Oryctolagus cuniculus: one gene and its partner. The protein of the gene in region 2 interacts with the protein of the main gene of each other region in a biochemical or structural test. Links are inferred from orthologs where the notes say so. Each region holds a gene or a part of one and is shown on either strand. Other genes may lie near its edges.

Region 1 (3,223 bases), on a different chromosome or scaffold from region 2:
CATCTCTGTTCCTAGAAGCATTATCCAAAAGGTGGAAGCAACTCAAGTGTTCATTGATGGATAAATGGATGGCAAAATGTAATATATACACACAGAGATTATTATCCAGCCTTACAAAGGAAGAAAATTCTGATCCATGCTATAACACTGACAAACCTTTAAAAATATTATTCTGAGTGGAATAATCACAAAAGAACAAACACTGCAGGATTCCACTCCTATGAAGTATTTAAAATAGTTGAATTTGTAGAGACAAAAATTAGAACAGTAGTTGCCAGGGATTGGGGGTAGAAGGCAATGGGGAGTTGCTGTTTAATGCATAAGGAGTTTCAGCTTTGCAAAATGAAAAACGTTCTATGAATGGATTATGTTGATGGCTGCACAGCAACATGAATATATGAAATGCCACCGAACTGAATTTTAAAATGGTAAATGTTATTGTGTATGTTTTACCAAATTCAAAAGGATAACTTTAAAATTTGTGTCTCATTTCATCTGAGATTATCAAAAGGCTACGTGCAAAAGAAAGATTTTTGTTTTATGTTCCATGAAGCCTAGAGACTGGAGTAAAAGACTGAGGTGGTGGGATGAATGAACACATCTGGAAACAGCTAAGTTTCACACAAATGTATGGATTTATTGACATGTGTTATTTTCTTACAGTAATAAATACAATGCGATCTTTTTCAGGGTTAGCTTGAAGTAGGAATGGCAGTGTGTCCTTGGTAGGAGCAGTCGGACTTATGGTACCATCTTCTTCAGAACTACATCTAAGAGACAACCTGAGTTCTGGGCAAGAGCCACATAGGTGTGTGCAACATCAGCCCTGATGTTTCTCTTGACACAGTAAAAGTGAGTCATGGCCTGGGCCATATTACCCTAGGTTCTTCTCACCCAAACTTGACATAATATATCATAAAAATATCTAAAGGCATAAAAAGTCAACATTGCAAATATAAAATTCTTTCATACAAATATAATTCATAATATGATCATTCTTAAAACACAGCATTGTTATGTAAGAGTTTGAAACATTATCAAAATAAATATTTCCTAGAGAAAATTTTATTTGCATCACAGAATTATAAAAAAGCATATAAAACTAATTCATGATTGGCTCTTCTTTGGGGTGTCTCCCATTCCCTCTCTCCTTCAGAGCAGACAGTATGAAGCATGTATAGTTAGCCTGAAAACACACCACCATCACCATTTAGATCTAGATGCTCATGTTTCCTTGTGTCCACTATAGCACCCATGGCCTATCTACCCATGCACTTTCTACTGGGAGCTTCTCAGGGAAGAAGGGCTTCCCTGTGACAGTTCGCACAACACACTTCTCCAGCCATCTTCTGGTCCTTATGTCTTATGAGCTTGTTACATCCTGGAGGTAAGGGAAAGTCCTGTCAATTTCAGCATCAAGAGAGCTGCTCTGTGTATTCTGATTATCTGACTTGGCTAGATTTTTGGTAAAGCTGGATGGTACTAACCCTAATCTGCACAATCGGAAGTTCTCTTTCCTAACCACATGTTGAATGGGACACTTATACACTCCTCCAAATGCCTGCAGTGGCTAAGACTGGACTGGGCTGAAACTGGAAACCTGTAACTCAATCCAGGTCTCCCATGTGGGTGGCAGGAACACAATCACTTGAGCCATCACCTCTGTCTCCCAGGGTTTGCATTAACAGGAAACTAAACTCGGGAACCAGAGCTGAGTACTGAAGTCCAATATGAGATGCAGCCATCTTCACCTGCATCTTAACTTCCAGGCTAAATGGAACGGGGCTTTTATTGATGTGCTGCTTTTTGACTCTTACAGTATTCTAACACTTCCTTAGAAATGAGAGCCAGAATGCTTGGCGGACAATGTATCGTCATGAGCCACCTAAAGACAGGGACATATTTTGAGCAATAAGTCATTAGATAATTTTGTTGCTATATGAACATCCTAGATTATTACTGCACACCCACGCTATGTGTTACACAATTGTAGATATAGTCCATTGTTGACAGAAACATCACCATGCAGTGCATGACTGTAGTTGTGTTTCTAAATATCTTGAAGAGAGGAGAGAAAGGGGGATATAAATTTATATGAACCACTCAAGTTTCCAGTTACCATTACTTAATCATTCCTCTAAGAAGCATGATTTCAGTTCTTCAATAAGACAAATGAACAATTTTCACTAAACAGTAAGCTGAACATCTAACCTGGCTGAATTTTATAGCTGCCTTTCCAACTACTACCAAAGGGCAAAGAAAAACCCCAGGGGTTAATCTTCAAGGATTTGAAGTACCTCTCACATGATTTGACCATGGCCAGGAAGCCATCTATGCAGATCATAAGAATGTCCTCAACTCTTTGTTCCAAAATGTTTGCTTAAAAAACAAAACAAAACAAAACAAAACATTATTTCTCCTTGTTTTCTGAGGCAGAGGCAACTGTTTCTCCCCCAGCTCCATGAGGGAATGTCCCATGCAAACATTTGCACTGGCTCTCTAGAGCCTTGTTTCTTGCACTTCTTCTTCTGCCTCCTCCTTCAGAGCAGTGATCTGGGGCCGAGACTTGTGCTTGCTTGAGTTCCTGTGGGGGAAGAGCTTTGCCCTGTCCGAGGAGCTGATGGCCTGCCGGAAGAGGCTCTTCTCACTCAGCAATTTCTGGATGGATTCGTACTGCCGCACTGTGTTCTCTTCTATGACCTAGGGAAGTGGCCATTAGTGAGATCTCCCACAGAAGACAGGTCAAGCCAGAGTAGGGACAGAAACCGGCACAGGCTCAGAGGTAGTTGCAAGGAGGAATGATTCATGTGAGCTCCCTTAAATGGTGTGAGTCCACAACACCATAAAGAGCTGCATCTCTTCAACAGTGGACCTGAAGCTTCATTATTCCAAATTGGTCAGGAGGTACCTGACTTTATTATGCTTCCTTCCTGCGTTAAAGTAGAGCAAACCCAAGGCCAGAGGAGAGAGGACTTCAATCACTTCTTGAACTTGCCCACAGGAGGCACAGAAGTTGTGTGTCTACCCCCTAATTTGTCTCTTCCAGCTCTCAGTAATAATAATGATAATAACCATCCTGTTATCCTTTGCCACCTGTAGGCTCAAAATCCCAAGAGAAATGACATGATACATCACCCTCAGAACTTCCTCCTGTGACAGTTTTGAAAACACAATGAGAAGATGACTGAGAGAGGCAATAACCTGAGAGCCAAATGATGACTGG
Region 2 (4,382 bases):
ACCTCTCGGAAGGCCAAGAGTGTCCCGTGGGCTCCCAGGCCAGGCCTTGCCCAGGACAAGGAGTCCCACCGGGAGCGCCAGCCCGCCCAGGACGGGCCCCCCGGGGCCCAGCTCACAGCGCAGCCAGCTGTGGTGGGAGAGGGTGGGAAAGGAAAAAGGTCCACGTGAAGGCCCCCGCCCACCCCACACGTTAGGCCCAATACCTCCACTGCCCCCAGGCCGGGGGTTCTCAAAGCGGAATCTGGGGAACCCCTAGGCGGAACCCCCCAAGGGATGTGGTCAACCAAAGAGGTAGGAGACGGCTCTTCCCCAGGGCTCACATGCTTGCCCCGCAGGGTTACTTCCAGGTCCCCACCCCTCCTGCGGCTGGGGGGTCTTTGCTGAAGACTGGGGGAAGGGTGGGCTCGCCCTAGAAGCTTCCTGAACCAGGCTGCGCACAGCAGCTTCTGGGGCCAGCTCTCTCCGAGGGCTTCACCCTACACTCAGACCAGACAGACAGACAGAGACGCAGACGCTGCTGAGGGGCCAGGCTCGCTCCTTCCCAGGGTCCGGTGACTCCGCCCACCGGGCAGGAAGGGCCTCGTCGCCCTGGGCCAGGCTAAGGGCAGGGACAGAGAGCGAGCCGGGAAGGGGGCCGAGCTGTCCTGTCTACCCCCAGTTAGGAACTCGGACTGAGAGAAGAGGGACCCAGAAGGCAGCCGGGGCGGGGTGAAGACTTGTCAAGAGGCCAGGGTGGCCGCACGGGCAGAGGCTGCCGTACCTTCTGGCCAGCGTCAGAGCTCAGGCTGCCTGCACGTGCCCAGTCCGGCTTTGGCTCCCAGGGGTCGTGGGCGGGCGGGAGCCCTCGCTGGGCCATGTCCTCGGTGCAGGTGAGCTGCCGCCGGCGCAGCTCCTCGTCCGTCTCCTTGTCCACTACCAGCAGCCGGGTCTCCCCTTCGACAGCCTTGATCCTCTGCACCACCTGGGGCAGGCAGGGACGGGGGCAGGTCAGCGGCCGGCAGCCCGGGCAGCACGTGGACGGTGGCACCACTCCGGGATGGCCTGGGCTGGCAGGCAGACAGGCAGCCAGGCTGCCAGGGGTGGGCGGCTGGCCCCGCCGGCTCCGCCCCCCGCCCCCGGCTCCCTGACACAGCCAGCCCTGAGCTGCTCTCAGCCCAGGGTGGAGGTGACCAAGACGGCACTGAATGAGCTTCAGGGGCTCGGTCTGCCCGTGCGTGTGCACACGCTCGTGTGTGCGCACCATCTGTTTCCAAGTCTGCCTTCCAGCCCAGGTTGGAGGCGGGAGGTGCTGTCGGGTGTTAGTTTGGCTGTGCATGTTCGCTTGCTTTCAACTTTCTCACGGGAATCTCAACCTGCCCTAGACACAGACCGTCTGCCTGCAGACCACAGACCCACTCCTGCTGGGCCTGCGGACAGCTGAGAGCTGGGTTCCCGCTCAGGCCCCCGCACACGGTCGGGTAAGGAGGACAGCGGGGAGAGGGGCAGGTCTGCCCGTGGCACAGGTGCGGCGTTCCAGGCGCTGTGTGTCTGGGAGCACACAGGGTGCCAGCGTGTGCCAGCAGGGAGAGGGCAGTGCCCACTATGGCCCTCGGCCTGTGGAAGAGCGGAGCAGAAGGCTCCCACCTGCTGCCCAGCTCCCCAGATGCTGTCAAGCAACAGGGGGAGCGAGCCAGGCCCGTCCTCGCCCGGCCCTGCTCCCCGACTTGTGACCCAAACTGAAGCTCCAAGCCTCAGTTTCCATATTTGTAAAGCAGAGTCCCGGCCGCACCTCCTGGGGCTGGGGCTGGGTGTGAAGTTCTCAGACAAGTGCCCAGGGGCCCGGAACAGCAGGTGCAGCTGGAGCGAGGATGGCCATGGCTGTCACACAGAGGCGGGGTGCCAGCTCTGCCAGCCCTGCCTCCCCCACCTGTGGCCCTGACCCCCACTGCACTTCAGCACACAGCACCGCTCTACCCAGCTTCCAGTCTCGCTGGAAGACAGAGGCTAGGGGACCCCGGGAAGCCCGGCCAGTGGCTCAGCTGTCTGCTAACCCCTAGGCCCAGTACTGGCCACGTAGACAGGCCACAGGCTCAGCGGTGCTGTGAGGGACACGGAGCAGCCGGAGCAGCCGGTCCGGAGGGAGGCTGGACTCTGGCCAGGATCTGAGGTGAGTCCCTGGCCAGCGGGAGACGGACATCCCAGGGGTTACAGCCTGCAAGGGAAGAGGCCCTACCCTCTCCAGCTGCAGGAGCAGGGGGCAGTGGCCACAGCGCCCCGAGGAGGGTGAGGGTCGCAGCAGCTATGGAATGTGCCACCAGGGACTGCCAACTCGCACCGGATCCAGGCACCCCGGCTGCAGACACACTGGCCGGTCTACACCGCCCAGACGCGCAGGGGCCTGGCTGCTGGCACCCACACGGGCAGGACCCCGGAGGCCTTGCGCGGTCACACAGTCCCACAGGCTCAGGAAGCACCCGGGTTCACCGACACACAGGCTGGAGCCAGGCGGGGGGAGGGGGCCGAGGGCCGGCTTGGAGCCGCAGTGCGGCCCCTCCCTGCCAGAACGCCTTCCCCCGCGCTGCGGTGCGGGGCTGAGCGTCGCGGGGGAGGTGCGGGGCCCGCCACCCGCAGGCAGCGCCCAGCCGGCCGGGGCGCAGCGCGGCACCCACCTGGTGGTGCGTCTCGCCTTCCACGTTGACGCCGTTCACCTCGACCAGGCGGTCCCCCGCGCGCAGCGCGGCCGCCTCGGCGGGGGAGCCGGGCTCCACGCGCCGGATGAACTGCCCACGGCGGCCCTTCTCGCCATGCAGGTGGAAGCCGTAGCCCTGCTCGCCACGCACCAGGCGGCACAGGCGCGGCCGCAACGGCTCCGGCGCGGCCATGGCGCCCGCTGACCACCGGCCGGCCGCGGGCTGGCCACGGCGCTACGGGGCCCGCAGGCCGGGGCGCGGGGGCGGCGCGGGGGACGGGCGGCCGCCTCGGCGTTGCGCTCGCTCGGCTCCAGTCGCCTCGGGCTCGGGCTCGGGCTCCGGCTCGGGCTCCGGCTCGGGCTGGGGCACCGCCCCCGCGCCCGCCCCTTCCCCGCCCCCGCCGCCCGGCCGCCCCCGCCCCGGGTCCACGACGCGCTGGCCTGGCCCTGCCTCCCGGCCCCAGCTGCCCGAGGGGCTCTGGAGGGGAGGCTTCAGGGCCGGGGAACCCCTGTGTCTGGCAGCACGTTGGTGCCAGCGCTTCTGGCTTCCTGTGCAGGGCCTAGAGCCGGCTCCTGAGCTGGGGGCCAGGTGGGAGACAGTGGCCCCAGGCAGAACCCCCAGGGAGGCCCCGGAGTGAGGCCCTGCCTGCCCTCCCTGGGCGGTCCTTTGCCCACCCGCACGGTTCACCTGCTCCCCAGCCACTGCCCTCACCCCCGGGACCCTCCCGCAGCCAGGGCTGCCCTGCACAGAGCCCCACGACCTGCCTGGAGGCCCCTGGAGGCCGTAGTGACAGGGTGGGCTTTGTGTGCCCGTGGGCTCCCTAGAGGTCGGCCCTCCATTCTCGCACTTGGCTGAGGCCTACCCCAGGCCCCGGCAGACCCTGGAGTCCCAGGCTGCAGGGTCGGTCGGGGGCTGGCCTCCTGCCCCGAGACTTTGGCCTCTGTACTCTGTGGTCAGCACCGGCACACCTGAGCCGAGGTCTCTGGCACCTGCCCCCTGCCTCTGCCACGCCTCCCCTGCCCTGCGGCTGACAACCGCCAGCAGCACTTTGCCTGGCCAGGCCTCTCCAGGTGCAGTTTTACTGGCACAGAGGGAAGCACCCCTCCCCCAGGCCCAGGGCTGTGCGGCCCAAGCCTGCAGCCTTCACGGCTGAGGCCTGAGGCGGCCTGGCCTGCCCCGCCCCAGCCCAGCAGGGACCCCTGCCCATGCCTGCCCCAGGGGTGGGGCGCAGCAGTCCAGACAGTTCCCAGGTGGGCCCCAGTCCTCACCCCTTGCTCTCCCGTCTCCAGTTCTCTTGGCCTGGGCTCTCCAGCCCCCACCCACACCGTGGCCCCCTGGGTGCCCACCTCCAGGAGCTCGTGGCATCGTGGGTGCCCCCACCCTCACCTCTGCAGGTCTTGAGGGTCGGTGCCTTGGGCTGACCACCCGCCTGTCCAGCTGCAGCTGGCACCCTGGACCCTGCGCCCACTGTGTGCCCCCACCCCGCAGCGCCCAGTACCTGCCAGGCTGTAGCTTTGTGGCCACATTGTTTGAGGGGTGAGGAAGTGTTAGGTGGGAAGTTAGAAATGAGCCTGGGTGTGTGTTAGAGCCCTGCCCCAGGGGACGCTCCCCGGGCAATCCGCCCGCCGCCCAGCAGTAACCCTCAGGCCTTCCTCCAAGGCAGGCGCCCTAGGGGAACCTCCCGAGGGCTCCCCAAACCTGGAGAGAAGGGGG

The links. The genes of interacting proteins can lie anywhere in the genome.
Region 1: the proteins of NHERF2 (region 2) and CFTR form a complex in vitro, tested with the Homo sapiens proteins (4 studies listed by BioGRID and IntAct, with this or other methods). The link is inferred for Oryctolagus cuniculus from reciprocal best matches to the Homo sapiens genes NHERF2 and CFTR.

What each region holds. Positions count from the first base shown.
Region 1 is NC_091434.1:153,239,400-153,242,622, reverse strand, and holds the end of CFTR (cystic fibrosis transmembrane conductance regulator), read right to left. Parts: intron 3,151-3,223; coding exon of another isoform or gene 3,022-3,150; exon of another isoform or gene 2,711-3,021; intron 2,701-2,710; coding exon 2,500-2,700; 3' UTR 613-2,499; downstream 1-612. UniProt on the Homo sapiens protein: Epithelial ion channel that plays an important role in the regulation of epithelial ion and water transport and fluid homeostasis. Mediates the transport of chloride ions across the cell membrane.
Region 2 is NC_091450.1:33,196,593-33,200,974, forward strand, and holds the start of NHERF2 (Na(+)/H(+) exchange regulatory cofactor NHE-RF2), read right to left. Parts: upstream 2,912-4,382; 5' UTR 2,862-2,911; coding exon 2,649-2,861; intron 962-2,648; coding exon 761-961; intron 1-760.